Linked DNA regions of Stegostoma tigrinum. The protein of the gene in region 1 interacts with the protein of each later gene in a biochemical or structural test. Links are inferred from orthologs where the notes say so. Each region holds a gene or a part of one and is shown in the gene's direction. Other genes may lie near its edges. The genes, in order: spi1b, irf8, mecp2 and interferon regulatory factor 4-like.

Region 1 (8,016 bases):
GAGACTTTATAACCAGAGGGCATAACCTCAAAGTATGGAGTCACCCATTTAAATGACAAGGAATTTCTTCTGTCAGAGGGTTGTGAACCTATGGACTTTTTTTTTGAATGGTGGAGCAGATTCTGGGCTGACTGGTCTCTTTCTGGTCCACTCCTGTGTCTTATGGAGTCACATGTAGGCCAGACCAGGTAAGAACAGTAGATTTTCTTTTGTAAGAAAATTAGTGAACCAGATGGGATTTGCAACAATCGACAATATGTACATGCTCACCATTGGACTAGCTTTTTTTTGTTATTCCAGTTTTTCTTAAATTTAAAATTCACCATCTCCCATGGCAGGATTTGTACCCATTCTGGATTACCAACCAAGTAACATTTTCACAACACCACTACACAACACGCACACACACACCTTCTTCTAGAGTTAATCTGAGTGCAGCAGCTTTGGCCATCAAACTCCAGTTCTACCTTCCAAGCTGAGACCTGCCCTAGTATGATCAGGGCTCAGGTTAGGAGGTATGCAGAGTGAGTGCGTGACAGCTCTAAAGCAAAGAGCTTCCAAGGTGGCATCTTGAGCTTCCAAGTTCCTTTAGCTTCTGTTTACCAGAAAGCATCACCTTTGTAAAGAAGTTGAATTGAGTGGTAGGAATGACTAGGCAAATTGGGAAGGAGTTTTTTGTCATTTGCAATGTCTGTTGACAGTGATGAAAAAGACCACACATCATTCTACTGGATAACACTTGATCTAATGACCTCCCCCAACAGTTAGCAGCTGTTTGGGTATGAATATGGCAACCTTGTAGATTTTAGGTGCTACTTAAACATTTCATATTCACTTGCTGCTGGAAGTATGACCAAATTCTCTCAAACACATTGGGATATTTTCTGTATCAATTTGTCAGGACTTCATCACTCAAGCAGCTGTTGAGCTAGAAATTCTCTGAGGACTTCATCTGGAAAGAAAAGCACTGAGCTACTTCATCTTATTTTGTACCTTTTAGAAATTACCAGGGCAACAGGAGTGTGCAGTTGTCACTATCTCTCTTTGGCCTGTGTGAGGAATACAAGGACACTATGAGGACTTGGCATTGCAACGTAGGCTGAGACAGGAGAAAGAGTCAGGCAGACAAGGTGGATATATCATCTCACAAGTACAGAGGTGTACCTCTCTCTTTGTCCCAAATCTCTGAAACTTCCTGCAAACCTTTGCTGTGAACTCATTAATGAACCCTCCTGAATATACAATACTAGATTCAAAATAGCCTGCCCCTTAGTTGGTTGATTGTAATCAGGATTTTGAAAACTAAATTGCATGTGTACAATGACACATCTTGAACATTATTGCTGCAAATTTGCTTCCCCAGTCCAAATGTAGATTAATGCCCCCTATTTATCAGCTACATTTGACCAAAAATTGAATTAGTGTCAATTTCAAGGGTATTCCCTGTGGTTTTTCTCTTTATGATCTCTGGACTGTTATCTAACACTATTCTCCATTACTCAACCTCAAGTACTCAACACGCCTGCATGCTGTGGTGCCCTCCCCAGCTGTAGAAGTGCTTGCCACTACTGGGACCTTCCAAGATTCATACACCCACCACCGTGTGTAAATCCCGACTGTACTCCAGTTCAAATACCGCTAGCCAGGAGCAACTGAGCATACCAATTTGCTGACAGGGATCTGTGAATATATTATTAAGATGCTCAAGCCTCCACCCTTATTGTGCAAGTTGTTCTCTCTCATCTCATAGAGGGATAAAAAATAGGAGCAGGAGTAGGCCATTTAGCACTGTCCTACCATTCACTAAGATCATGGCTGATCATCTAACTCATTACCCTTTCCCATTCCTTTTCCCCATATCGTTTGATCCCTTTTGCGATAAGAACTTTATCTATACTTTAATAGAATCGCTACAGGTGGAAGAAGGCCATTCAGCCCATCAGGTCCACACTAAGTCTCTGAGGAGCATCCCACCCAGAGCCATCCCCCTGCCCTATCCTTATAATCCTGCATTTTCTATCGCTAATCCATCTAGCCTGCACAATTTAACATGCCCAGTCCACCTAACCTGAATATCTTTAGACTGTGGGAGGAAGCTGGAGAAACCAGGGGAAGCCCACACAGACACAGAGAGAATGTGCAGACTCCACACAGACAGTTGCCCGAGGATGGAATCAAACCCAGTCCCTGGCACTGTGAGGCAGCAGCACTAAACCACTGAGCCACTGTGCGGCCCCTATTTTCTTGCAAGTTTTCAATGTTTTAGCCTCAACAGTTTCCGGTGGCAGAGAATTTCATAAGCTCTCCACTCTCTGGAGGAAGAAATTCCCCCTCATCTCAGTCCTAAATGGCCTATTGTTTATCCTTAGATATGACCCCTGGTTCTGGACTCTCCCATTATTGGCAACATCCTTCCTGTGTTTACCCTGTCTGGTCCTGTTATAATTTCATAGGTTTCTATGAGATACCCGCTTATTCTTCTGAACTCCAGTGAAAATAATCCTGACTGATTCAACCTTTCAAAATCAGTCTTGCTATCCCAGTAATCAGTCCCGTAAACCTTTGCTACACTTCCTCCATACCCTTAGATAATATGAGACCAAAACTGCACGCAGTAGTCCAGGTATGGTCTCTCTAAGGCTCTGTACATTTGCAGCAACATTTCCCTGCCACTGTACGCAAATCCTCTCACCATGAAGGTCAACATATCATTTTCCTTCTTCATTGCTTGCTGCAACTGCACCACTACTTTCATTGAATCCTGTAGGCAGCAGCCCATGTGCAAAGTCTCTGCTTTAACAGGCCATCAAGACATTATGCCTTTCTCCACCTCTCAGGAAGAAGACATGGACCCCTTAGAAGGGCACAGCGTAACATAGAGGACGCTAGGTGGAACGCCATGCCCAGTTCTACATACACACACACATATTGCCCAATGTAGTCCAAAAGAGAAGCATTGTCAAGGCTATTCCCTGCACCCTCCCCCATCTTGGAATGGAAAGTGTCTGCAGAGTTTAACCTTTCTTTAATGGCTTGGCGACAGTTGTGTGATGTTATGTTTCAACAAAGATAGTTTATGTTTATACATTGAAAACCTTTAGCTAATAATCTTTATTTGAGGAAATTGTTTTTGTAATTATCTAGCTTTTATTTATTGTCCATAGAAACTTGGCTGACTTGTTTCCAATAAGTCTATTAATAAACACATTGAAAACTCAACTGGCACAGCACTGCATTCAGGCTGAAACTGCCAGTGGGATTTATTTGCACACTTGATAATTACATGGAAGCAGAGAAACAAAGTTGATGCTGAGCAATGCCATACTCCAACAATGTAAGATTTTAGAAGTGCTGCCTGACTTGATTCTAATACCGAGCTGTCTGCAGTATGGGCAATATCACTTTCCTTTAAATTCAACATTTGCTGTGGGACAACTGAATCCTCATAACTGGGATTTAATATATGGAATGATAAGAATATGATAAGTAGAGGAAATTAGCAAGAGTGTACATTAACAGGATGCTTGTAATGTCAGGAGTGTGCTATCTGGATCTGCATAGTATCAGAAGAATGTAATGACAAACTGTGACCTAGAAAAGTGTATGCAAGTAGTGAAAGAAAAAAATACAGGAGAATTATATTCATAATTTGTAAAAGTGAAAGTTCAGAACTAGTAGCTCAGCAGTCAGATGACAGCTGGGATTGTATAAACCAGAGGAAAGTAAACGTTAATACTGTTCTGTTGGAAGTGTTTTTTGGAATAAGGTGCTAAATCTAGGCCACATCTGCCTTTTCAGGTAGATATAAAAGATGCCTTAGCACTTTTGCGAAAAGAGGAGGGAACTTTCCCAGGATGTCCTGGGCGATATTTATTCCCCAACCAAAATCACTAAAAACAAACGTTGATCTAATTTCTTAAGGTGGGATTTTGTCATGCACAAATAGGCTGTTATATTTCCTGCAAACAACGAAGCAGAATTTCACTGACGTTTTCACGGAGAATGTGGTGAAGGTAGGTTCACTCCGGTGGATAGAGTCTGGAATGTAGTATCTGAGAGTGTGGAGATGCCATTTTAATTATTAAAACAGTACTGGAAACATCTGGAGAGAAAGAACAATGCAGGCACACTTGAGAAGGGCAAGGAAATGGGCCTAGCTGACTTGGTGTGCCAAGAGCCGCACATAAATGATTGGCCGAATGGCCTCTTTCAGTTTTGTGAGCGTTCTCTGTTTCTATGCAATGCCTCCCATTCTCTGGGTTGCAAATGTGGTGCCCCCTTTTTTGGGCAGGTTGAGTGTAATGTGTCGTCTCTCAAAGCAATCTTTCCCTTCAGTAAAGCCACCTTCATCAGCTGAGTACTTTCAGCAATCTCTTTTGCTGCAACCCCGGGGGGCAAGGAGAGAAACCCAACAAAGTTTCTTTCTATTAGCTAGTCCCAGAGAGTAAAGTTGTTGGTGAGGACCCTATAGGACAGCTGAAGCTTGGTGCTGCCTTGTACTGTAGGAGCAGCCGCTAAGGGGTGCTTGTGTCTGAGCTAGCGGGGTGCTTGCTGTGGTAGAGGTGGAGTCTGGTAACAGCAGCGTTGATCATGAAGTTCCTGTTTGACGGGTGCCGGTCCCCAACACCCTGGAAAAGAACAGTTTCTCACCGTCCACTGAACAAGCTCGGCACCCTCGCATTTGTGGACAGCTACAGGGAATCTCTTACCTCACTTTGCAAACCCGTCACTGGGGCAACGGGACGGCAAAGTGGGCACACTCTACCTGCTACTGGAGACCCTTGGAGGAAAAGTCATAGAGTATGTGCCTGGCTGCCTGAAGTCCGCAGAGGAACACGCACAGTCAGTTCGGCTATGGAAGGCTATCTGATTGCTCCCGTAAGTAAAAGTTTGTCACTCTCTGAAATCATGAGGTCCGCTGCTCTGTGGCTGGAGGTAATTGGGACTCTTTTTTAAACTTGCAGTACCCCGAAGATATTACTCCTTACGACAGCGAGGTGTACAGACAGCCCCATGAGTATTACACCTACCTGGGCAGCGATGGGGACAGTCATAGCGGTGAGTTAGCTCCTCTCTTTACACCCCAGCTCTGTACGGGATTTCTTCCTCACTGTTCGATAGCACCGCTAAATCGGTTTGAAACTGACCTTTTCATTTTTCGATAAGGCAGACAGGAGATACTTTCCAAGCGCTGATACCGTCTCCTTTTCACACAGAATCTGCGGTTGAAGGGAGTTGCTGCTCCTGTTGGCAGACTGAAATGACCGACTTGTCTCTTTCCCGCTGCGCCAATTCCTTCAAAGCGCAGAGAAATTCCTCTTCACGAGGATCTGCTCCTTAGCCCTTTGGCACAGCGTTACATAGCGAACGCAAGGTGGAATGCCATGCCCCCTTCTACATACACACGCATATATTGCCCAATACAGTCCAAAAGACATTGGAAACTAAACTGGCACAGAACGACTTTCAGGCTGAAACTGCCAGTGGGATTTATTTGCGCACTAAATAACGACAGGGAAGCAGAAAAACAAAGTTGACGCTGAGTTGATTATTCCGGCAATGCAAGACTTTAGAAGTGCTGCCTGGAAAGGTGTGGATAACAATTCAACAATAATTTTCAAAAGATAAACACTCAAATTAAGTGTGTGTAGGATTTGAGAGCAAGGGTGTGGAATAGCTAGATCTTTCAGAAAAGCACGCAGGCGGAATTAGCTGATGTGTGCAGCTTCAGTCTGTGAATCTATGGAAACTGCTCCAAAAAAAACAGAAGTAGAGAGTTGGGTATTTGCGAGTTAATGCACATGAATGTTGTGGCGCAAGTTTTTTACATAACTCATTCTGTTGCAGAAAACAAGACGTTCGTTAATACAGGACCGTTCCATCCACTAGATCCCGCTAAACCCTGTCAAGAATATTTTTAAAAAGTTAAAAGGGGCCTTCTAAATAGTCAGGTATTCAAGGATATTAATCACTTCCACCTCTTGGGCAGATTGGAGTCAGTAACAGCTCTGCGGTCGTCCAGAGTTTTGTTTGCTTTTCACATCTACGAGTGAATTCTGCAAGTCAGAGCTGCTAGTGAGAAATGTTGCGTGTAGGCCGGCAGTTGGGAAAGTGATAATGGGAACTGCAGATGCTGGAGAATCCAAGATAATAAAATGTGAGGCTGGATGAACACAGCAGGCCCAGCAGCATCTCAGGAGCACAAAAGCTGACATTTCGGGCCTAGACCCTTCATCAGAGAGGGGGATGGGGTGAGGGTTCTGGAATAAATAGGGAGAGAGGGGGAGGCAGACCGAAGATGGAGAGAAAAGAAGATAAGTGGGGAGGTAGGAGGGGGGATAGGTCAGTCCAGGGAAGACGGACAGGTCAAGGAGGTGGGATGAGGCTAGTAGTTAGGAGATGGAGGTGCGGCTTGGGGTGGGAGGAAGGGATGGGTGAGAGGAAGAACAGGTTAGGGAGGCAGAGACAGGTTGGACTGGTTTTGGAATGCAGTGGGTGGAGGGGAAGAGCTGGGCTGGTTGTGTGGTGCAGTGGGGGGAGGGGATGAACTGGGCTGGTTTAGGGATGCGGTGGGGGAAGGGGAGATTTTGACGCTGGTGAAGGCTTGAATGCAGACTGTAGTCTATTGGGGATGATCCGGGTCTGTAGGCAGGTGCTGAGGAAGGTGATGTGGCTGTGGTACCTGGTTTGCTTCAGGACATGGTCGAGCATGTCCTGAAGCAAACCAGGTACCACAGCCACATCACCTTCCTCAGCACCTGCCTACGGACCCGGATCATCCCCAATGGACTACAGTCCGCATTCAAGCCTTCACCAGCTTCAAAATCTCCCCTTCCCCCACCGCATCCCTAAACCAGCCCAGTTCGTCCCCTCCCCCACTGCAACACACAACCAGCCCAGCTCTTCCCCTCCACCCACTGCATCCCAAAACCAGACCAACCTGTCTCTGCCTCCCTAACCTGTTCTTCCTCTCACCCATCCCTTCCTCCCACCCCAAGCCGCACCTCCATCTCCTACCTACTAACCTCATCCCATCTCCTTGACCTGTCCGTCTTCCCTGGACTGACCTACCCCCCCCCCCCCCCCCCCCCAACCTCCCCACCTATACTCTCCTCTCCACTTATCTTCTTTTCTCTCCATCTTCGGTCCGCCTCCCCCTCTCTCCCTATTTATTCCAGAACCCTCACCCCATCCCCCTCTCTGATGAAGGGTCTAGGCCCGAAATGTCAGCTTTTATGCTCCTGAGATGCTGCTGGGCCTGCTGTGTTCATCCAGCCTCACATTTTATTATCCCGGCAATTGGGAAAGCTGTGTGCGTGACATTTGCACAGTATTGTAAAGTTATCTACAATGGGGACAATATTGAATTTGACTTCTAGAAGATAACAAAAATTCTGTAAATGTTTGTGGATTGACGTCAGCTCAGAAATGCCCAACAGAGCTGACTTTGTAAAGTTGAACAGAACCGACAGTCTCACCAGCACCTCCACCGGGAGGGTGTATGAAGTCCGACTGTACAATTGGTAACCGAGCAGGAACTGCTTTTCTTAATATTCCAGTCTGTATTTACATCGCAACCACTAAATAGACATCATCAGGCCGTTGTCACTTTACTGTTTGTGGTATCTTGCTGTGCTTCCTATACAATACTGGTGATGGCACTTGACACTACGTCATTGGCTGCGAGGCTATGGCTTAAGGATGCAAAGAATTATGCAAGTCTCTTTCTATTTTTGATAATTAATTTCAATCGATAGCACCAGAACCTTTAGCGTTTTCGATCAGGAGTTGTTCAATGACTATGTCAGTCATCACAAACCTGCCACTTTTCAAACACTAGCATTAAAAAGGCACCTCTTCAAGTTGGATGAAAAGTTTATAATGTAACCTCACCTTGAATGATTTACTTTGAAAGGCAGCACTTATAGAAGGGTACTCTGCAGAAAGTAGAAAAATCCAATGCACAGCAAGGAGATGAATAAACTGATGATACAAAAAGAAGACAGCAGAGAGAGG
Region 2 (7,817 bases), on another chromosome or scaffold:
CTGATTCAAGAGAAAAATCTTTAATGGTGCTAAAGTCAAAGAAGGTGGTAGTAATTATGGGAAAGAAACAAAAGGATTGACTAGAAGAGGTGAAAATATCTGGAAAGCAGCTGCCTGAAAGCAAAGGAATTAAGTTAAAAAATAAGAGAAAAACTGAACTAGCAAAGAAAAACACACTAAAACGGGGGCAATGGTTATATCAAAAACGATTGAATGCAGAGGTGAATCCAGAAGTGCAATTTGTAAATGGAAGTGCAAACTTGAAAGATGAGGTGCTGCTCCCTGAGTTTCACTGAAATGCTGCAGCTGGCCAAGTTCAGATGGGTTTGGATAGGAACAACATGGAGAATTGAAAGGACTAATAACAGAATGCCCAGAGTTGTCCTCAATTCAGGTGTTCTGCAAAGCAGTCACCGGGTGTACAGGAGACTAAGTTGTGAGGTGCAAATACTCTGTTCAAAACTGAAAGAAAGCAAATGAATCTCATTGAGTAGGAATGTTTGGGCCCATGGATAACAATGAGGGAGGAAGTGGAAGTGCAGGTGTTACATCTCTTGCAGTTGCATGGAAAAGTGTTGTAGGAAAAGAGGTAATCTGCAGATGACCAAGGAGAGGGTTAATATACCATGGAGGATATCGTATATCAGAGTGCTGAAAGGGGAGCGCCTAGGAAGATGCATTTGGTGGTGCTATCACTAGAAATGGAAATGAATAGAATGGGATGATATGTTGAACACAGAGGCTGTTGGTTAACAAGTTAGGACAAGAGAAACCCTATCATTATTCTTGGAGGGAGGGTAAGTAGAGAAGGCAGAAATGTGTGAGACAGATTGGACACAGAGGACAGTGATAATGGGAATTGCAGACGCTGGAGAATCCAAGATAATAAAGTGTGAGGCTGGATGAACACAGCAGGCCAAGCAGCATCTCAGGAGCACAAAAGTTGACGTTTCGGGCCTAGACCCTTCATCAGAGAGGGGGATGGGGTGAGGGTTCTGGAATAAATAGGGAGAGAGGGGGAGGCGGACCGAAGGTGGAGAGAAAAGAAGATAGCTGGAGAGAGTATAGGTGGGGAGGTAGGGAGGGGATAGGTCAGTCCAGGGAAGATGGACAGGTCAAGGAGGTGGGATGAGGTTAGTAGGTAGATGGGGGTGCGGCTCGGGGTGGGAGGAAGGGACGAGTGAGAGGAAGAACAGGTTAGGGAGGCAGAGACAGGTTGGGCTGGTTTTGGGATGCAGTGGGTGGAGGGGAGGAGCTGGGCTGGTTGTGTGGTGCAGTGGGGGGAGGGGATGAACTGGGCTGGTTTAGGGATGCAGTTGGGGAAGGGGAGATTTTGAAACTGGTGAAGTCCACATTGATACCATTGGGCTGCAGGGTTCCCAGGTGGAATATGAGTTGCTGTTCCTGCAACCTACGGGTGGCATCATTGTGGCACTGCAGGAGGCCCATGATGGACATGTCATCTAAAGAATGGGAGGGGGAGTGGAAATGGTTTGCGACTGGGAGGTGCAGTTGTTTGTTGCGAACTGAGCGGAGGTGTTCTGCAAAGCGGTCTCCAAGCCTCCGCTTGGTTTCCCCAATGTAGAGGAAGCCACACCGGGTACAGTGGATGCAGTAGACCACATTGGCAGATGTGCAGGTGAACCTCTGCTTAATGTGGAATGTCATCTTGGGGCCTGGGATAGGGGTGAGGGAGGAGGTGTGGGGGCAAGTGTAGCATTTCCTGCGGTTGCAGGGGAAGGTGCCGGGTGTGGTGGGGTTGGAGGGCAGTGTGGAGCGAACAAGGGAGTCGCGGAGAGAGTGGTCTCTCCAGAATGCAGACAGGGGTGGGGATGGCAAAATGTCTTGGGTGGTGGGGTCGGATTGTAGATGGCAGAAGTGTCGGAGGATGATGCGTTGTATCCGGAGGTTGGTGGGGTGGTGTGTGAGAACGAGGTGGATCCTCTTTGGGCGGTTGTGGCAGGGGCGGGGTGTGAGGGATGTGTTGCGGGAAATGCAGGAGACGCGGTCAAGGGCGTTCTCGATCACTGTGGGGGGAAAGTTGCGGTCCTTGAAGAACTTGGACATCTGGGATGTGCGGGAGTGGAATGTCTTATCGTGGGGGCGGAGGCGGAGGAATTGGGAATAGGGGATGGAATTTTTGCAGGAGGGTGGGTGGGAGGAGGTGTATTCTAGGTAGCTGTGGGAGTTGGTGGGCTTGAAATGGACATCAGTTACAAGCTGGTTGCCTGAGATGGAGACTGAGAGGTCCAGGAAGGTGAGGGATGTGCTGGAGATGGCCCAGGTGAACTGAAGATTGGGGTGGAAGGTGTTGGTGAAGTGGATGAACTGTTCGAGCTCCTCTGGGGAGCAAGAGGCGGCGCCGATACAGTCATCAATGTACCGGAGGAAGAGGTGGGGTTTGGGGCCTGTGTAGGTGCGGAAGAGGGACTGTTCCACGTAACCTACAAAGAGGCAGGCATAGCTGGGGCCCATGCGGGTGCCCATGGCCACCCACTTAGTCTGTAGGAAGTGGGAGGAGTCAAAATAGAAGTTGTTGAGGGTGAGGACGAGTTCGGCTAGGCGGATGAGGGTGTTGGTGGAGGGGGACTGGTCAGGCCTGCGGGACAGGAAGAAGCGGAGGGCCTTGAGGCCATCTGCATGTGGAATGCAGGTGTATAGGGACTGGACGTCCATGGTGAAGATGAGGTGTTGGGGGCCAGGGAATTGGAAGTCCTGGAGGAGGTGGAGGGCGTGGGTGGTGTCATGGACGTAGGTGGGGAGTTCCTGGACCAAAGGGGTGAAAATGGAATCCAGATAGGTGGAGATGAGTTTGGTGGGGCAGGAGCAGGCTGAGACGATGGGTCGACCAGGGCAGGCAGGTTTGTGGATTTTGGGAAGGAGATAGAAACGGGCCGTGCGGGGTTGGGGAACAATGAGGTTGGAGGCTGTGGGTGGGAGGTCCCCTGAGGTGATGAGGTCATGAATGGTGTTGGAGATGATGGTTTGGTGCTCGGGTGTGGGTTCATGATCGAGGAGGCGGTAGGAGGTGGTGTCGGAGAGTTGGCGTCTGGCCTCGGCGATGTAGAGATCAGTGCGCCATACTACCACTGCGCCACCCTTGTCTGCGGGTTTGATGGTGATGTTGGGGTTGGAGCGGAGGGCTGCCCGTTCTGCGGGGGAGAGGTTGGAGTGGATGAGAGGGGTGGAGAGGTTGAGGCGGTTAATGTCTCGACGGCAGTTGGAGATGAAGAGGTCGAGGGAGGGTAGGAGGCCTGGGGGTGGTGACACAGTGGACAGCTGTGTTGATCATGGTGCTGGAAGGGGGATGGTGGGCAGTGAATCCTGGGTTCAGTAAAAAGAAAGTCAGATTGGACGTGCTGGTATTGGTGGTTAAAAAAAACGCGACAGAGAAACTGGACATTTTCTGAAGAAGGGTCGAGGCCTGGAATGTCAGCTTTCCTACTTTGATGCTGCTTGGCCTGCTGTGTTCATCCAGCAGTATGCCTTGTTATCTCAGATTCTCCAGCATATGCCGTTCCTACTATCAGAGAAACTGGGCATTAGGAATACAGACCTTGCAAGAATCACTTAGTTTTACAGTATAGCATGAGGGCATTTGACCCACTGTATCTGTACGGGCTTCTGAAAGAGCTCCTCACTTAGGCTCCAGCCCTATCTCCGTAGCTGCCTAACTCCATCATTTTCGACCCGAAACGTCAGCTTTCCTGCCCCGCTGCGTTCCTCCAGCTCCACACCTTGTTATATCAAGTCTAGTGGTAGCGGGAACAAAGTAAACTAGATACTATGAAGGGAAAGTTGATTCAGACAAGGGATATTCTGATGGTCTTTTTTCCTCGCCAAAGAATCAGCTTAGTTCATTGACCACTGCTGAAAACGTCTGCAAAGTAAAACACCCCCGGTCTGTGGGTATTGTCCAATGAAATTAAACCCTCTTCAACTACTGGGACATTTTATTAGGAATTCATAAAACACAATGCCTCAAGAGTATTGCGAAACCATTCCCCGATACTATTACCACCCTGGGACAGGAGGAGGCGTACAGGTCCCGGGAAATTCCCCAATACATGCCACTTAAGTAAATCCCCCTCTACTCCCACGTGTATACAACCATACCATTATAAAGTGCAATGGACGAAAGGTCAAAAAACAATAAAAGCTCATTTCGCAAAACGTGCTGCTGGAAACTTTGAAAAGCGATCCTCGGACCTCCTAGAAAGAGACAAGGAAACACACACACTTAACAGAACGACCACTGCAACTACTTGCAACCCATCTGATTTCTTATAAAAGGGTTGGACCGGGAGGAAATCCCTCCCGCCTTCCCATCTCATTGGCCCCGCCGTCTGAACTTGGCTAAGATGTTTGGTCGACGGCAGCGTCAATGAGCAGACAGTTGCCGCGCATCAACCCCACCTTCCTGGGAGTGCATAAACGCCCACAGTTCAGCTCAAGACGAGATAACACGGCATTGATTGTCAGACAATTAAAGGAATAGTAACAGGAGATACGAAACCAGAAGAGAAAAGCACTGCAGTTAGGTAATTGACCTCTGTTAATTATACCTGGCACAGAACTGCTCTGGAATGATGCAAGGGTGAGGAAACATTTTCAACACTACAATGTAAACTTTTTTCACAATAGTTTAAAACATGATATTTTGTTTCTAAGTAACTTTTTCTATGATTTAGGACAAATGAAATTTCTTGGGCACGCTAGTTTGTTACGAGGTAATTATTCTCTGATGAGTTAAAATGTTGCTATTGCAGAATCGGCATGGTCGATAGAAACAGCACCGGGATGCGCCGTCTCAAACAGTGGCTCATTGATCAGATTGACAGCGATCAGTACCCAGGCTTGGTCTGGGACGATGAGGAGAAAGTCACTTTTCGGATTCCTTGGAAACACGCCGGGAAACAAGACTACAACCAGGAGGTGGACGCTTCGATCTTCAAAGTACGAGGATTCTGGCACAGTTTATGATGCTGCATTTGTTCTTTTTTAATGTAGCAGTCCTACTTTACCACGCATGATCGCAATACTTGGCTACATTTTAGCGAAGGGTAAAGCATACGGTTAGGTTTGGGGGCACTTTGGAGGTTTGTAGCAGTGACCCTAAGTTAGTTAAGCCAATATACGCATCTTTTTGCAAGCCAATTTGCTTCATTGATTTTGAGGCCGGTCTGCATCGAGGGACTTTTGAGTTCAGTTTAGCTATTGTCGGATGTTTTTCGAGGAACGAAAGGGCAAAACTGTGGGGGAATAATTTGAACTTTTAAAAACGTAAATTGTACATTTTATTCTGGGAGTTGAGAAAGGAGGCCTTTTAACAGATATTACTTAGTGAGGGAGTATCCCTATTTGGAATGAGAACTAACTTATAAGTTGCGTAGAAAATAATGGCAATTTTTGCTTCATTTGCTCGGCCCTGGCCAATATTTTCCTGCTCATTATCTTGCAAAAATATACTGCAGCTTCTGCAGTTGCACTAAGTTCAGACACTTAGATTCTGCAGTTGCAGTAAGTTTAGACATTTTGCTGTTACACTGAAAATAAAATTATGGAAAAATGTATAGGGCAAGAAGCTGGATGTAATAGTTATTTAGCACTGAAGGTGAAATCATCTCTGAACACTTGCATGTAGTTTATCGGGAGGGATTATTTATCCAGGTTGAGAATGCTTCTAATGACAATATTGTCATGTCTGAAGAACAGACCTAGCTTTAGATCCAAAAAAAAAGAACTGTAGATGCTGGAAATCTGAAACAAAAACATATTATTGGAAATACTCAACAAGACTGGCAGCAGTCTGTGGAAAGAAGGTAGTGTTAAGGGTTTGTAGAGGTAGAGTTTGGGTCTAGTAATCCTTCTTTAGATCTGAAGACCCTAGCTATACATCCCCTTGTTTGCATCTGGATACAGGACTATGGAAGGATTCAGAAATTTCACTCAGTGAAAAGAGCAGAAAGCTGAACACTTCTAGCTGAATGTTACATGTTATTAAGTAGTAGTAAGGACAAAGTATCAGCAGCTGAACGAAGGTTTAAACTGAAGCTCAGTTGCAAATCAACATCCATTGAGGTAGTATATCTAGATCAAGGGCATCTAACTCTTCTAAGCACCAAGTTTCTAAGTAACTAGATTTTATTTTGCTTCTGTTTAGTTTCATTTTGAAAAATATTTCATTTTGATGCAACTGTCAGGAACATTTAAAGTTGTAAAATATATATAGAAGCTGAATGAAATATACTGAGTGCATTTCTTTTGCTTTCATTGGAAAATAAATAACCAAAATACCTTGAGGGCAGCAGTGGTTAGCACTGCTGGGTCACAGCGCCAGGAACCTTGGTTCAATTCCACCCTTAGGTGACTGTTTGTTTGGAGTTTGCACATTCTCCCTGCGTCTGCGCAGATTTCCTCCGAAGATGTGCAGTTTAGATGGGTTGGTCATGCTAAATTGACCATAGTGTTCAGGGATGCATAGGTTAGGTGGGTTATGGGGGGATGGGACTGGATGGAATGCTCTGAGGGTTGGTGTGGGCTTGTTGGCCAAAGGGCCTGTTTTCACACTGGAGTGATTCTATAATCTTTTTAAGAATGTAAGTCCAGGATGCAAATTTCCTTTTGCCTTTGTCTGCTTTGTTATTTGGATTATTGTGAAACTAAAGAAGACTTGGACAGAATTGTTGTTTTGATTTTAGAGAACAACAAAAACAAGAACGTAGGTGACTGTTAGAAAATAGCTCCCAAATACAGGGTAGGGTAGGAAGGCATCTTATTATTTTATCACCTGCTTTTCAACACTTTGATTAAAACAGCCAAAACCAAGCTTGTCCTTCAACTGGGGGACTGAAAAGAATGTTGCAGTTGTATTGGCTGGAGATTAACTCTTAGCTTCAGCAAAGGCAGAGATCAGAGATGTGAGAGGTCACCTCTTTAATGGCTTCCAGTACAAGACAAGTTCATAGTGCACCAATTAGTTCATTGAGACTCTATACTAACTTATGCATGGTTTATATGTTATATGGCATTTATAGGCTTGGGCTATTTTCAAAGGAAAATATAAAGAAGGTGAGAAAGCAGAGCCTGCCACTTGGAAAACAAGACTTCGTTGTGCACTCAACAAAAGTCCAGATTTTGAAGAAGTGACTGACCGTTCACAGCTTGACATCTCCGAACCATATAAGGTTTATCGAATTGTTCCTGAAGGACAGCAAAAATGTGAGCACAAGTAATTCAGTAGTTTGGGCAGATTATGTACCTGGTGTTCCACTGCCGGATTCACACATCTAATTTTGTCAATTTAGATTCAATGGTTTCAGTTGTGTTTGCTCTTTTCATGTCTGAAAAGGAAAGATACATTTTGAGCAGCTGCTCCATTTTAAAGTCTTGAGCTTTCCTTGTTTTCTCGGCTGACCTACTAGCCGGCCTCACATTTCTGACTTTTTCTGTTTTTCTTTTTTCTTTTTCTATTTTTTTCTAAAGATTTCATTTATAAAGCATTTGTGGTGTGCCTGGGATGTAAAAGGTTGTAGGGAAATCATTCTGTGCTGTATTGTGTGGGGTTTAGAGACTTGGAAACATTAGGGCATCATGGTGGCTCACTGGTTAGTATCGCTGCCTTGTAGCATCAGGATCCTGAATTGGATTTCAGCCTCCAGTGACTGGCTGTGTGGTTTGCATATTTTTTGTGTGGGTTCCTCCCACAGTCACAAAGATGTGCAGGTTAGATAGACTGGCCATGCTAAATTGTCCAGGGATGTCTGGCAGGGTAAGGATGTGTGTCTGGATGTGGTGCTGTTTAGAAGGTCAATGTA
Region 3 (7,687 bases), on another chromosome or scaffold:
CTACAAAGAACAATGTTCTTTAAATCACAGAATTGTTAGAGCACAGAAGGAGACTATTTGGTCCATCGTACCTCCGTGGCTCTTTAAAAGAGCATGAAAACAGCAGGCTTGGAGGGCCGAAGGGCCTGTTCCTGTGCTGTAATTTTCTTTTCTTTTTCTTTGTTCAAAACCTAATGTCAATCTCCTGTCATTTATTGTACACTTGCACACTATTTCTATCCAAATATTCATCTATGTGAAGGAGACCTGAAAGATAAAAAGTCCTCTAGCAGAGAAATGGTCACAAGTCAGAACCAAAGTCAACAATCATCAATCAAGCAAGAGATCTACCATCCTTTTATATCTGAGAGAGTATGTTCTGAGAAAAGAGTGAAAAATCTAGAACACCCGAAGGTAGAGATCTGGGAGCAGATGGGAGAGTGGTAAATGTAACAAAGATATTTACACAATTATTTAATGAGTTCACTATTTTAAAGAAAGTATATTTTTAATTTTACTTTATTTTTGATTATGAACTGAAATGGGAAAAAGGACTGTCTTAAACACCAGGGACCGTGCAAAGAATTGCTGTACTTTTTAACAGTAGATTACTCAATACTCATTGTATGTGCTGTTTGCACAGCTGCTTGTTCAAGCAGAGGGTGAGGTTACTACAGACATGCTGATCCTGGGGTGTGTACGAAGGGAAATTCCCCTGGCAACAAGAAGATGATTTCTCTGTGGATTAGTGATCATTGGTTGATGACATGGCCTCTTGCCCGCTACCAACTACGCGGTTAGTGCCCTGGTTACTGGATAGCTTATGGGTGTGAATATTTGGTTAGAAGTCATCAGACCATTGAAAAGGAAAGAGCTAATACGGTATGAAGCTGGATGAACACAGCAGGCCAAGCAGCATCAGAGGAGCAGGAAAGGTTTACGTTTCGGATTGCGACCCTTCTTCAGAAAAGGAAAGAGCTGTTCTTTTGTTTGCATTGGAGCCTGAAAAAAGCCAGTCTATCTCTTCCCATCAGTTCTGTAAATTGTGGCTCTTAATCTATAGATCAGACACTTTATGAGCGTGAACAGCCACCCTGTCCCACCTGCAAGCAAGTGAAAGTACCTGGAGAAGTTTGAGTTTGATTTATTGTTATCATGCATACCAGGATACACTGGAAAAGTGTGGATTTGTGTGCTACGTGGGCAGATTGTACCATAGAAAGTGCATCAAGGTAGCAGAACTGAGTGCAGAATATAGTGTTATGGTTGCCAAGAAGGTATGGAGAGAGAAAATTAATACTTGAGATACATTCAAAACTCTGACCACAGCAGGGAAAAAGCTGTGCTTGAATCTACTTGTGCTTGTATTCAAACTTTTATATCTTCTGCCTGATGGAAGAGGGTGGAAGACAGTATAACTATGGTGGGAGGGGTCTTTAATTACGTCGGTTGTTTTCCTGAGGCAGCAAGAAATATTGATGGAGTCAGTGAATGGAAGGCTGGTTTGTGCAATAGATTGGGCTGTGTTCATAACTATCTGTGGTTTCTTGCAGAATTGGGAAGAGCAGTAGCCATACGATACTGTGATACGTCCAGATAGGATGTTTCCTCTGGTGTATCTATAAAAATTGGTAAGAGTCCTTGTGGGCATGCCCAATTTCCTTAGCTTCCTGAAGAAAGCCAAAAGGGCATCTCAGCACAGGCCGTGGACAGGGACTATTGAACTGCCTTTTCTTTCCTTGCATTTTTCTTTGTCTGTACGCTTGTGAATGGGGTTCTTCTGACTCTGATAGGACACTGGAGGTGTGTATCATGTATGCCGTCTCTTGCACCTGGAGTGTCTCAGGAGAGATTCCTTCTTTTCTTCAGGCATTAATGGTATTGAGGCTACATCCATCATGAACTCTGAGGTTTCTTCGATGTTAGATGATGGAGGAGGACCCATGGTTTCTGACAGCCGTTATGGCTGTTCTGAGGTGCCCAGGTATGTTTTGCTCCTGCCCTGTTTGCAAGGTAGCAGCTTTCATAAACCACATGTTTATTTAGGACCACCTCACCTTACCTGAACTTTGTATATCATGGGATCTAACTGTGTGTTGACCTTGACTCATAACCACACAGGGCTGTTCAATGCCAAACTTTGTCACCTTAAGTAAACTGTCTTCCTTGTTTAGAGGAGGCATGTGCCTGGCATTGGTGTTGCTGCTGCCATTTCATGCTCCCCGCTCCCCCCTGCACCCTTAAATGGGAATATTAGATATAACCTGATAGGAGTCTTCACCCATCAACAACTTTGCTGGAGCTCTCCCTGTATTTTCGTAAGGGGTGGTCCTATAATCGAACAGGAAGTGGGACAGTTTGGTATCAAGTGAGGCTGTAGGCTGTTTCTTTAAAGTTTGTGCTGCTCTTTCTGCTCAGCCATTGAATGATGGATGGTATGGAGTTGTCCAAACATGTTAAATCCCATTCAACTTTAGGGAATACTTGAAATCCCTGTTGGTAAGTAACATCCCATTGTCCGTTACCAGTAGTTTCTGTATTGTGAAAATTGTTTGCAGCTTTACAATTGTCATTTCTGAGTTTGCCGAATAAACTCTGTGTGTGTTCATACACTTTGAATGGACATCCAGAGTAACCAAGAACGTTGAGACCATGAAAGGACTGGCATTGTCAAGGGTAACTGAATGTGGGATTCCTTGATTAGCCCAGGTTAACATCCCCAATTACGGATTCACCTGGCCCTTTTTACAATTACTAAAGTAACCTCTTTGCTTTTTTTTTTAAACCTGGTTCCATAGTATCTTATAGGCTATTACATGGCAAGGCTCACCCTCAGTTTGAAAGGAATATTATAATCACGTCTTATGCTTGCTGAGCAACACATGTTCCTGGTCCAACTACACCCTCCTTTTTAAATTCTGATCCTTACTTTCAAATGTCACAATGGGCTCCTTGCATTCCACTTCCTATAACTTGTCCAAAGACACACCTTCTGCTCAATGACCTTACTCCTTTGCTTCCCCAAGACCATGTTCCATCTCACACAGTTCCGACAACACTTACATGAACCCCCTGCTCTCCCCTGACCAACCACTACTCCCCAAGATTTACTGCCATCCTCTCCATAGATCAAACCCCCTCCCAAAATCACCTCTATTCCTCTTCTAAGACCACAAACTTTTTCTCCAAAGACCAGTCCCCAATACCACCCTTCCTCCCCTCCCAATACCACCCCCTCCCAAGATCCTGCCTCCTCTGTTCTCCCAAGACTCTGCATCTTTTGCTCTATCAAGATTTTGACAGGCATCCCTGCTCCTCCAAGATTATGCCCTCTTGCGCAGTACTATGCCCACCCACCAAGACCTGTCCCCTGCTGTCCCACCACTACACCATTCTGCTACACCAAGACACCATTCCCAACCAAAAGCCCCACCTCAGCCAGAGGCCCTCCCTCTCCCAAGACGTGGAGATGCCTCTGTTGGATTGGGCTGGACAAGGTCGGAAATTGCATGACACCAAGTTATAATCCAACAGGTCTATTTGAAAACACAAGCTTTGGCAGATTAGCCCCTTCATCAGGTGATTTCACAACTTGAGACCATGCCCCTCTCCCCAAAGACCCAGCCCCCTGACCAGGGACTCCACCTCCTCCCTCTGTGAACATGGCCCTTCATGATTGAACCACACCGGCTCATACATAAACCCCACCCCCTCACCCTTATAGCCATACACTCAAGCCTGGACACTTACTTTGGGACATGCCCCCCTCACAATGGGACTATGCCCCCTCGTCTGGAACCCCGTCCTCTCACACAGGGACCAATGTTCCTTCACATAAAGGATCATGCCCTCTCACTGAGGGTCCAGCTGTCCCTAAAGGACCCCATCCCCTCACCATTGGTCACTGCCACTCACTCAGGTACCCTGACATGGGGGCATCACCTCAAACAGGGACCACCCCACTTAGCACTTGAACCTGTCATCCCACAGAGTGGACGCTCCCATTTTGGAACCTGTCCCCTCATTTTGGGTCCGTATCCCTCACCAAGGGACCACGCTGTCCTCACTTTGGTACATAAAGGCTCCACCCTGGACCCACCCCCTCACTTTGGGACACACCCCATTCACTCAGACCACGCCCCCTCACGCACGTTCGACGCCCTCTGTCGCTTTGGACTCCGCCCCACCCACCCTTCCCGCCCAACTCCACCAAGCACCCCGCCCCCTCCTTCCCCGCCTCCACCCACTTCTCATTCCCCCCACCTTCACCCGGAACCCTCCCTACCCGAAACTCCGAACGCTCGCGAGATCTCGGCCGGTCGGGCCGCCCGCCCTGCCGGTGTGACGCGCTGGAAATAATTTGAAAATGGCCGCCGCGCCGAGCGGAGGAGAGAGGCTGTGAGTACTGGGAGAGGAGGAGGAGGAAGAGTGCAGTGGTCGGGGGAGGGGGGCGAAGCGGGATTGGAGAAGCAGCTCCGGCCCTGGTCCGAGAGAGAAAACCAGAGATCGGTCAATCCCCCTTCCGTGCTTCGGGACGGGAGGGGGGGAGGTGAACATATGCCGGCGAATGAACGGCGAAGGGGGGGGGGGTGAGAAGTTGAGAGAGAGGGCGGAGGTAGGCCCGGCCTCTTTCTCGCGCGGTGGCGGTCCCGATAATAAGCGGATTGTTTCACACACACAAAACTTGCCCGGTCTAGTGATAATAAATGGTATTTTTTTTGAAAAAGTTAAAAAATAAAGAGGGAGAGGATGGAACCGGTGGCGAGCGAGGCCTACCTCCAAAGGGTGGGGTGGACGGTCGGTCGGAGGTCGACGCTCGGCTCCTGGGCGCTCAGGGCCCGCAGCCGTTGGAGACGGCGCGAGCGGGCTAACGGTCGGGCCCGCGCGAGCGCGGAGTCATGGCAACCTCCTGTTCTACCCCCTCCCCCCGACAATCATCACCGGGGCGACGCCATGGCAACCAGGCGCGCAAGCGGGGTACCCGGGGGCAACCCCCTTCCCTCCATCTCCCGTCACCCCCTCACACTCTTAGCCTCTCTGTCTCCAAGTCAACACCAGCGTGTCTCTCTTTGCTCCCTAACACATAACAAATCGCCCTGATTTCACAGAGCAGGGTGATCGAATGGGTGGTGGGATGTTGGAGTTTGTGTGTGTTTGTGTTGGAATCTGATGTGCTAATCATTTTATGGCATAGTCACCTTATTTCCACCACTTCTTGCCCACTCTCTGTCAACCATGTCTTGCCATTTTCTCCCTCGTTCTCAACTCACCCTGAATTTGCCAAATTCCCAACACTAACATCCTCCCTTCCCCGTCTTTTGTCCCCCTCCCTCCCTCCCTCCCTTCCCCGTCTTTTGTCCCCCTCCCTCCCTCCCTCCCTCCCTTCCCCGTCTTTTGTCCCCCTCCCTCCCTCCCTCCCTCCCTTCCCCGTCTTTTGTCCCCCTCCCTCCCTCCCTCCCTCCCTCCCTCCCTCCCTCCCTTCCCCGTCTTTTGTCCCCCTCCCTCCCTCCCTCCCTTCCCCGTCTTTTGTCCCCCTCCCTCCCTCCCTCCCTTCCCCGTCTTTTGTCCCCCTCCCTCCCTTCCCCGTCTTTTGTCCCCCTCCCTCCCTTCCCCGTCTTTTGTCCCCCTCCCTCCCTTCCCCGTCTTTTGTCCCCCTCCCTCCCTTCCCCGTCTTTTGTCCCCCTCCCTCCCTTCCCCGTCTTTTGTCCCCCTCCCTCCCTTCCCCGTCTTTTGTCCCCCTCCCTCCCTTCCCCGTCTTTTGTCCCCCTCCCTCCCTTCCCCGTCTTTTGTCCCCCTCCCTCCCTTCCCCGTCTTTTGTCCCCCTCCCTCCCTTCCCCGTCTTTTGTCCCCCTCCCTCCCTTCCCCGTCTTTTGTCCCCCTCCCTCCCTTCCCCGTCTTTTGTCCCCCTCCCTCCCTTCCCCGTCTTTTGTCCCCCTCCCTCCCTTCCCCGTCTTTTGTCCCCCTCCCTCCCTTCCCCGTCTTTTGTCCCCCTCCCTCCCTTCCCCGTCTTTTGTCCCCCTCCCTCCCTTCCCCGTCTTTTGTCCCCCTCCCTCCCTTCCCCGTCTTTTGTCCCCCTCCCTCCCTTCCCCGTCTTTTGTCCCCCTCCCTCCCTTCCCCGTCTTTTGTCCCCCTCCCTCCCTTCCCCGTCTTTTGTCCCCCTCCCTCCCTTCCCCGTCTTTTGTCCCCCTCCCTCCCTTCCCCGTCTTTTGTCCCCCTCCCTCCCTTCCCCGTCTTTTGTCCCCCTCCCTCCCTTCCCCGTCTTTTGTCCCCCTCCCTCCCTTCCCCGTCTTTTGTCCCCCTCCCTCCCTTCCCCGTCTTTTGTCCCCCTCCCTCCCTTCCCCGTCTTTTGTCCCCCTCCCTCCCTTCCCCGTCTTTTGTCCCCCTCCCTCCCTTCCCCGTCTTTTGTCCCCCTCCCTCCCTTCCCCGTCTTTTGTCCCCCTCCCTCCCTTCCCCGTCTTTTGTCCCCCTCCCTCCCTTCCCCGTCTTTTGTCCCCCTCCCTCCCTTCCCCGTCTTTTGTCCCCCTCCCTCCCTTCCCCGTCTTTTGTCCCCCTCCCTCCCTTCCCCGTCTTTTGTCCCCCTCCCTCCCTTCCCCGTCTTTTGTCCCCCTCCCTCCCTTCCCCGTCTTTTGTCCCCCTCCCTCCCTTCCCCGTCTTTTGTCCCCCTCCCTCCCTTCCCCGTCTTTTGTCCCCCTCCCTCCCTTCCCCGTCTTTTGTCCCCCTCCCTCCCTTCCCCGTCTTTTGTCCCCCTCCCTCCCTTCCCCGTCTTTTGTCCCCCTCCCTCCCTTCCCCGTCTTTTGTCCCCCTCCCTCCCTTCCCCGTCTTTTGTCCCCCTCCCTCCCTTCCCCGTCTTTTGTCCCCCTCCCTCCCTTCCCCGTCTTTTGTCCCCCTCCCTCCCTTCCCCGTCTTTTGTCCCCCTCCCTCCCTTCCCCGTCTTTTGTCCCCCTCCCTCCCTTCCCCGTCTTTTGTCCCCCTCCCTCCCTTCCCCGTCTTTTGTCCCCCTCCCTCCCTTCCCCGTCTTTTGTCCCCCTCCCTCCCTTCCCCGTCTTTTGTCCCCCTCCCTCCCTTCCCCGTCTTTTGTCCCCCTCCCTCCCTTCCCCGTCTTTTGTCCCCCTCCCTCCCTTCCCCGTCTTTTGTCCCCCTCCCTCCCTTCCCCGTCTTTTGTCCCCCTCCCTCCCTTCCCCGTCTTTTGTCCCCCTCCCTCCCTTCCCCGTCTTTTGTCCCCCTCCCTCCCTTCCCCGTCTTTTGTCCCCCTCCCTCCCTTCCCCGTCTTTTGTCCCCCTCCCTCCCTTCCCCGTCTTTTGTCCCCCTCCCTCCCTTCCCCGTCTTTTGTCCCCCTCCCTCCCTTCCCCGTCTTTTGTCCCCCTCCCTCCCTTCCCCGTCTTTTGTCCCCCTCCCTCCCTTCCCCGTCTTTTGTCCCCCTCCCTCCCTTCCCCGTCTTTTGTCCCCCTCCCTCCCTTCCCCGTCTTTTGTCCCCCTCCCTCCCTTCCCCGTCTTTTGTCCCCCTCCCTCCCTTCCCCGTCTTTTGTCCCCCTCCCTCCCTCCCTCCCTCCCTCCCTTCCCCCCCTCCCTCCCTCCCTTCCCCCCCTCCCTCCCTCCCTTCCCCCCTCCCTCCCTCCCTTCCCCCCCTCCCTCCCTTCCCCCCCTCCCTCCCTTCCCCCCCTCCCTCCCTCCCTTCCCCCCCTCCCTCCCTCCCCCCCCTCCCTCCCTC
Region 4 (7,978 bases), on another chromosome or scaffold:
CCTGATAGATGGCCTTTTAAAAATATCTCTTTATATTGCATCTACTGTATTAATGTGTGCTCTCCCTGTTACCTGTTTCAGAGAATCCAAGGAGATTGTTCGAGCATGGCTTTCATTGTGAAATCCATATTGACATGGCATCATATTTTCGGTTTCGAGGTTTAATTTTTTGCATCACTGAATGATGACCACCAACATTAAACTGACTAATCTCGAGTTCTGTGACTTGGTTGTACATCCCTTATTAAATATACTATTAGCTGTCATCCACTTCCCTGGCACGTGTTCTTTTTAAACAGAATATACATTTGGAGAAATGCTTCTATTAGTTTATCTTGCATGTATCAGTCAGTTTTGCCAGTACATTGACCTGACTGTCCATATCCGAATACATATATACATAAATGGATGCATGTATGTTACCTAGAGGACTTTTTACATTCGTGTAAAAGTTGCTGGCCTTCTAAGTAAATGGGATTTCTCAGTACGATTACTGCAGTTGAAATTCGAAGAGGCAGAGATAGGCTGACATTTTATGAGAACTGTGACTAAGTACCCTGACCGTAAATTCAAAGGGCGATGAGCAATGCTTAAGAAATACCCATTAAGCTGGAACATATATAACCTTTTTAAAAAATGAATGTTTAAGACAGCCAGGAAATGCTGTCACAACCACCAGCATGAGAATATCTAACGCGAGTGGAAGCCTGTCCCAGAACATATTAGTGAATGTACTCCTGACTTGATTAATACTTATGTGTCTCGATCCCCGTTATAAGCAATTCTATTGACAGTACAACGTTTTATTACAGTTTGTCCATACCGACAACGTGTAACACAATACTGCTGCCTGTGGTAAGTGGAATGCATTGACCTCCCTCTCTGTTGCGACAGTAACACGACATTTAGCAAATCAATCGAATACAGAATTGTTACACTTAAGCTTAACATGTTTCTATTTTGATTGATGTTTTTGGTATGTGTTCGAATTAATTAATGCGTGAGAATAAACATGTTGTGGAAGACGGAAGACAACAAGAGAAGTAATCTCATTGGGTAACCACGTCGGTATGCACCTTTTGTGCCTTATCCAAATTTTTTTTTTTGGGCAGATCAAACAAAAAATCAATGTGTAGCTTGCAAATGCAGAAGTAATACATTTACAATACTGAACACGCACGTACACGGGCAGATATATGCGTGAACATTCTGATCATTGTAGGTCAATTCAAAAATGTAGTTGAAAGTGACCACGAGTTTGTTAGTTTGGGAAATTAACCACGGCAAGATTATTCAACAATCCCGCCCTCGGTTTAATCTAAAATTAGATCAACGTTGGCAGTTTGTGAAGCGCGTGGATTGAAACAATAACACAAGCCCCAGACTGGAAAAAAAGACCTTGCCGCTTAAAATAGGCCATCGGTGTTATTTTGACAAAACAATGCCAGGTGCATTTATTTGTACTGTTTATGTGTTTTCCTGTTTTTCTCTGTACTTTTTTGTGATGTCACTTCGGGAATGAGCACTGTAAAGGTGGGCGCCCAAATGTTAAATCTTATTCTTAGTAACAATGGAAAATAAAACGGAGGTGTCTTATTGATTATTCTTCGCTAGTATTTTGCTTGACCTTCTTTTCAGGAACAAACTGGTAAAAGTGCAAAATTCCTCTATTCGCTCTGTCACTGCGATGTAATTTCAAGTCAGAGTGAAATTGCTTCAAAACTGACAGCCGGCCGCGTTCCACTTAGGCATGGTATGTTTTGTAAATTGCACCTTTTCTCTCAACCTGTCCAAGCGTATATTACACTCAGAACAAAGACAGTGTATAAAGATATCAAAAAGAACTATCTTGTACAGTGATTTACTCTTAATAGAAAGGCGTGGCGCTAAGAATGACCATTCGAGCTTCCGAGTGAGCCCACGTTATTGTGCACTTTCTAGTTCACTATCTTCTCATCATCTTATCTCGATCTGTATCCAGAAACGGCATCAGATCTGAATTATTTGGTTCCAATTAGGTCCACATAGTGGAACAGGCGTAAAATAAGTGAGTGCATTTTCAGAAACACCCACTCTAACCACTCTTGATAACGAGCACTTTTGTTATGTAACCCTGGTCATTTCAAGAGTTTCGAGAGAGCGAATTAGTGGAATTTGTTGTGTGTATGTCTGCTGGTGATGGCGGCGGGAGTGGGGCCGAATCAAAGACACCCAATATGGTCCAGCTGCTTTAGCAGGTACAAATCCCGCATCAACTGAAGCTTTAAATGCTAACAGCATTAAGGACCAACTGGCACTTTTTAACACCTATCAGAGTTCTAATAGAAGCAAACTGACAGAACTCTTGCGGTACAGAGGTGGCATTCCCATCTCTTAGACTAGGAGACTTGGATTAAAGTCCCACCTGCTCTAGAAGTGTGTGCTACTAACTCTGAGTAAGATGATCAGATTTTTAAAAATATAAAAATGAGAGTTATGTGGTGCAGAGGTCACGTCCCCTACCTTTGGAACAGAAGACCTGGGCTTAAATCCCCACCTGCTCCAGAGGGGTGCCGTAACACCTTTGAACAGGTTGATTAGAAATTGGTTCATATTTTTAAACTATCTACAAACTCTACACCTCGTTTAATTTGGTTAGTGAGATATGTAAAATGCTGCGGCTTAATGCAGTTATTTTAATGCACTGCGCATCAAATATTTAGTTAAGAATTCATTTCCTCCACACTATCCATACTGAGCCTTTTCCATGCATTTAAATAATGGGTATTGTGCACAAATCTATCTTTTCTGCTCCTATTCATTAAAATCCGAATTGCAGGTTCCTAATCTGAAACAAATTTAGCCAATTCTGCAAGTAATGGCAACTACAGTTCTTTCCCAAATCCCAGATCTAACTCTGAAAAGTTAAGCGAATTTGGGGGGTGAGGGATACGCCAAACCAGTTGCACTGTCATGCATGTCACCCTGTAATGAACTTGAAGCTGAGCCTATGTTTGAGACATCCAGGTAATTATCGCAGAAGAGAGAACGCACGTTCGGAGCCAAAGCGGAAATGTTGGATTTTGTTGGGCTTTTCTCTGTCTCCTCCCCTCCCGCCTCACACGTTTCCACAAGGAAATGATTTTTCCCTCTCAGAATAGAGTGATAAAATATGACGGATGAAAAACAACAAAAGCACTTCTTGGAAATGAAACTAGCAACTGGTTGAAGCTCAGATAAACTGATGTGACCAGAAAAAAAAGCACCGAGAAGATAACAAATAATTCAATGTTAGAATTTCTAACCACAGACAAATTCTTCCGTATAAACAACTGGGACGCAAATGTGTCATACTATTTTCTCCAATTAGGTGAAATTGAAGTCCATATCTTGACAGAAACGAATGCTTCCAGGGGAGGGGGATGCTTTACAATGGAAATATAGTCTAGTATATTACCGTCACTGGGGGAATGGGGTTTTGGGGAGTGAAGCCCGAGTGGAAGGGAGAGGGGATTGGGATTGATGGAACGCCGGTGGATTTTGCAAAAGATGGATGACCGGTTCATGAATGGACCCTTGGAGAGATGCCCAGGAGGTGGCGGTACTGAATTGGTTCTTAATAAAATTCTAATCCGGTTAAGTGTTTCCACCACGCTTCCATGTAATTGCAAGTGCATCTCCAAAGCATACATTCAATATATCCATATATTCTGTATACGTCTGGAACTATCTAAACTGGCACCGCTTGGTCAGAAAAACACACGAACACTTGTTAGAAAACAGAATTTCTCCACCCCCAAAATTGTCATGTGCTGCAATTATTTCCTGCAGACATGTTCCTTCTGGCTCGGCGTTACTATCCCAAGTTCCACCCACTGACAATTATCCCTGCGTCTAGCAGCATCTGTGGTGAGAAAACATTTTAGATCCAGTGATCCTTTTCAGGTCAGCCTGTAGGCGGTACCCTGGACCCAAAACGCTGACTCCACTCTCTATCACAGATACTGGCAGACCTACTTAGCGAGCTTCTCTAGCAACGTCTGTTTGCTTTTGTTTTGTTTCAGATTTTCAGTATCCGTACTTCTTTTGTTTATTATTTTTCTCTGCACGTTAGCCGGACAGCCAATCTGGCTGCAGCCGTGGAGCATTATTTCAATAGCGAGATACGAGTGGGGATCCTTTTTTGAGCCTCTTCAACTGCGCCCCTGGGGGACGCTGGGGGTCAATGGCAGAGGTGGTCTCACTGCCAGACTTGGGAACCAAGATCCCTGAGGTTGAGTGGTTCAACGTTGCAAACTCCATTCGAAGTCATTGGTGACTTTCAGGAACCCAAATAGGCCATTTTTTTGAAACACTTTAAAACTGCCCAGGGAGAGGTCAACTCGATGTTTGCAGTGACAGGGCAGATAACTGATAGTCTGAGGAAATATTTGGAAACTTTCAATTGACTAAATCACTGCACTATAAGATTGACTCCGTTCCTTTGATATATAATTTATGGCAATTTCATTTCCAAGGCAATTGCACACTGAGGTATATGAATAGTATCCAATTCTGACTGAAAATTTGTGACTGTATTCCTGAGAAATGTTATGCGTAGTTTTTCCACTGCTCAGGTAAAAAAAAAGACACACGCACCCCCAAAAAAAGCCGATCTGTCAAATTCTTCTGACAAACAAATACGTTAACAATGTTTCGTACTCTGAAATGGAGCAATGTTGTGCGCCGCTGGGGATTTTTGTTTCCTCTTGTCCGTGACACTTCTGTAAAAACAGCCTGTGATTGATTAGCAGCAGTCCCGCCTCCCAGCACTCTTGTATATAAGAGAAAGTTCCTTTTCAGTGCTTGTGCTGAGTGGATCTGCTTCATCGTAACCAGTCAATCAAACTTGAAACACAGCAAGTCCCCAGGTAAGAGGCAACTGGATGACTTCGCTGGGAGTTCTTATTGCAAGATACAGCCGAATTTTGTTTTAGGATCAGACACTGATGGGGTGACTGTCAGCTACTCCTCAACATTTAGGGCTTCATTTAAAATTATTATTATGTGAAAATAGCTTGGCTGCGGGCGAGAGAGTGAAGCCTGGCTTCGTGCGTGCACTTTAATCGGATTTCAAATGATCGTACGTTTAGGTAGAACTGCTAGCTGTTAAGAGGTGTCCCATGTGATTTTGTTTTAAAATGCTCTGCAGGTTTCGTACAACTTTTCCTGCAGTGAATGCCCTTGTATGATCAATATTTTATTTACGCGCCCTAAGACGTGACAGTATATGGTTGCATGTGCCTTTTTATTTCATGAGTCTCTCTGTCTCTCTCTCTCTCTGTATGACACATTATCTAGACATGAATATGGATTCAGACTGCAACATGGCTCCAGTGACTTCCGGAAACGGCAAACTTCGCCAGTGGTTGATTGATCAGATTGATAGTGGGAAATATCCCGGGCTGGTCTGGGAGAATGAAGACAAGACGATTTTCCGCATTCCTTGGAAACACGCAGGGAAACAGGATTACAACCGAGAGGAGGACGCGGCACTTTTCAAGGTAACAGTGCACCTCATCTCTCGAGTTTCTTCGTTTTCTGTCTAACTTCTGATTTTTCTCTTTTTCTCTCATAGGGGGAAGGTGTTAATTTCCTCTTTTAAGAAAAAAAACTTTAATGTCACAGCCTCTTTTTCCGCTTTTTCTTCTATGTAATTGTGCGTGTGATTAATTGGCCTGCTGCATAAATCAGTGGGTTCGAATGAAATTATCTGCGTCTCATCCTGACCGTTACATACCGGCTTCGCCTCCACGTTCACTGTGTTCCCTGTTTACTGCAGACCTCCCTGTTTCTACAACGGCTCTTTATGCTGTCTTGTGATCCCATGTGATCTTGCACATGTCATCAAAGCAGTGTCGTGGGAGAGCCACCTCCAGCTACTTGTGTTGTATTTCGGATAAATGAGGCCTTCGGACAAACGGGGCATTACCATTTCAGTCGTCACGATAAGCCCACAGTGGTAGGCGATGGTGGTGGATCAGGTTGCTTTCTATTACACGGTGACTTGCACAGAACTGCCTTTACTTTCAGGAAAGCTACAACGAGACTTTAGTAGGCGTGCATGAATAATTGTGGTCTAAGTTCACATCTTGTGGTGGAACTGGACAGCAACACCGGTAAACCTTAGTCTTTTGTTTCAGGGAAACTACATCATTGCCAAGAAAGTGTTTGAGTATTTCTGAAGACATTGGCCGGTGAATTTTAAAGTCACTGAAGTGACTCACTGCACATACAAATACGAGATATTTATAATGACTTATTCCCACGGGTCATTATAGTTTCTTTGCAAACGGGGTCACAGGAGAAAGCTTGTTTCTAATTAAAACATACTTGGGGCTTTCCCGAGCTTCCAGTGAATTATTATCGCTTCAAAATGCATGGCTATTTGATCAGTATGATTTAAGCAAAGTACACTTTTTTTTGTTCCAATCATATACCCGATCACACTATTATTTGAAGCCATGTTTTCAGCAGATTGTTTGAGTCTCAAGACTCGGTTTTGCTTGGATAGTACCTAATGGTCTGAATAATGTTAATACACTGTTAATGTCAGGTCGTAGAAAATTAGGATGTGTAATTTCCCAAAGTGACAATGCCCCAACCACGAAGATACCACACATTTTTTGTTTATAGTTTGGCTCACCATTTTCACATTCATTATGGAGCTCTATAGATAGTGCCCTGTCTCCAGGATATAAACCATGGGTATATGTTCAATTGCAGGACTTGATGGCCAAGGAAGGATTGTTTGTGCTGTAATTCAACATTTTTAGAATTAGTCTGCTAATTTCCCCACTATCCATCAAAAAAGTGTGTATATATAAAGGTAACAAAAATAAATATGTTAACCCCCTCCTTACATTAATTATAGCCTGTCAGTTAACTATCATTCACCATTAACTGGTGCATCTCCCACAGCAATGCTGCTACCAATCAGAATCTACTCATGTACCAATTAGCACACATATCATATAGTATAACTGTAAGTGTTCCTTTTAAATTGTATTACAAGTTACCCCATTGAAGGGACAATTAAATGTTTACTTTTTTCAGCAAAACTTAATTTCTCTTTTACCAAACAATTAACCATAGTTAAGCTGAATATAGATAACCAATCATTTAACTTGGAATACACAGTACATCCCTTAATTACCGGTGTATATAATGCTTTTGAATGATGGCAGGTAAGAGACAGTGGAGAAAAATACTTTCAAATTAAAATGAACAATCTATCTTTTTTTAAAAAAAAATTAATCCATTCATAATCACAGTAGTTTTCAGTATGCTGAAGCATTTCACTCTTTGCATTTTATGGGAGTAAAGTTTCTTTCTTATATCCAGCATCCCCATTATTTGTCTTGTGTACATCCTGGTAAATAATTTATCCTACTGTTTTTATACAGAAACAATGTTTATGAAATGGAGTGAATGTTGGTGCTTTGCTAACTCACTCTTACCAAATCATTTCTCCCAAGGCTTGGGCACTTTTCAAAGGCAAATTTCGTGAGGGAATTGACAAGCCAGACCCCCCAACTTGGAAGACTAGACTGAGATGTGCCTTAAACAAGAGCAATGATTTTGAGGAATTGGTTGATCGCAGTCAACTTGACATCTCCGATCCATACAAAGTGTACAAAATTATTCCAGAAGGAGCCAAAAAAGGTATTTGCTCCCACTAACATGATCTTTCAATTGAAGTTTTTTAAAAGCTCGGAGAGTAGAATGGATAAGATTAAACGAATATAATCATAATGTCTTCATACCATCTCTGGATAACTTAAGATTATGGAAAATTGCAGAAATTTCCTTTACTTATTTAATTCCTATGTCTTTACTCATCCTAAGATTTTACCTTTTTTTCCTCAAGGAGGATCAAAGCAAATGAGCATGGAAGGTCCACCGATATCGATTAACCACCATTCGTACCCTACATATCCATCAATGCCACCCCAGGTAA

Evidence for each region.
Region 2: the proteins of spi1b (region 1) and irf8 form a complex in vitro, tested with the Homo sapiens proteins (3 studies listed by BioGRID). The link is inferred for Stegostoma tigrinum from reciprocal best matches to the Homo sapiens genes SPI1 and IRF8.
Region 3: the proteins of spi1b (region 1) and mecp2 form a complex in vitro, tested with the Homo sapiens proteins (2 studies listed by BioGRID). The link is inferred for Stegostoma tigrinum from reciprocal best matches to the Homo sapiens genes SPI1 and MECP2.
Region 4: the proteins of spi1b (region 1) and interferon regulatory factor 4-like are reported together in a solved structure, tested with the Homo sapiens proteins (2 studies listed by BioGRID, with this or other methods). The link is inferred for Stegostoma tigrinum from reciprocal best matches to the Homo sapiens genes SPI1 and IRF4.

What each region holds. Positions count from the first base shown.
Region 1 is NC_081370.1:11,941,045-11,949,060, forward strand, and holds the start of spi1b (transcription factor PU.1b), read left to right. Parts: upstream 1-4,595; 5' UTR 4,596-4,854; coding exon 4,855-4,878; intron 4,879-4,964; coding exon 4,965-5,058; intron 5,059-8,016. UniProt on the Homo sapiens protein: Pioneer transcription factor, which controls hematopoietic cell fate by decompacting stem cell heterochromatin and allowing other transcription factors to enter otherwise inaccessible genomic sites.
Region 2 is NC_081369.1:51,891,580-51,899,396, reverse strand, and holds the start of irf8 (interferon regulatory factor 8), read left to right. Parts: upstream 1-4,411; 5' UTR 4,412-4,586; coding exon 4,587-4,597; intron 4,598-4,769; coding exon 4,770-4,956; intron 4,957-7,037; coding exon 7,038-7,221; intron 7,222-7,817. UniProt on the Homo sapiens protein: Transcription factor that specifically binds to the upstream regulatory region of type I interferon (IFN) and IFN-inducible MHC class I genes (the interferon consensus sequence (ICS)). Can both act as a transcriptional activator or repressor.
Region 3 is NC_081402.1:3,533,451-3,541,137, reverse strand, and holds the start of mecp2 (methyl-CpG-binding protein 2), read left to right. Parts: upstream 1-4,273; 5' UTR 4,274-4,345; coding exon 4,346-4,377; intron 4,378-4,755; exon of another isoform or gene 4,756-4,872; intron 4,873-7,687. UniProt on the Homo sapiens protein: Chromosomal protein that binds to methylated DNA. It can bind specifically to a single methyl-CpG pair. It is not influenced by sequences flanking the methyl-CpGs.
Region 4 is NC_081355.1:16,028,744-16,036,721, reverse strand, and holds the start of interferon regulatory factor 4-like, read left to right. Parts: upstream 1-4,838; 5' UTR 4,839-4,889; intron 4,890-5,319; 5' UTR 5,320-5,321; coding exon 5,322-5,522; intron 5,523-7,496; coding exon 7,497-7,683; intron 7,684-7,888; coding exon 7,889-7,974; intron 7,975-7,978. UniProt on the Homo sapiens protein: Transcriptional activator. Binds to the interferon-stimulated response element (ISRE) of the MHC class I promoter. Binds the immunoglobulin lambda light chain enhancer, together with PU.1.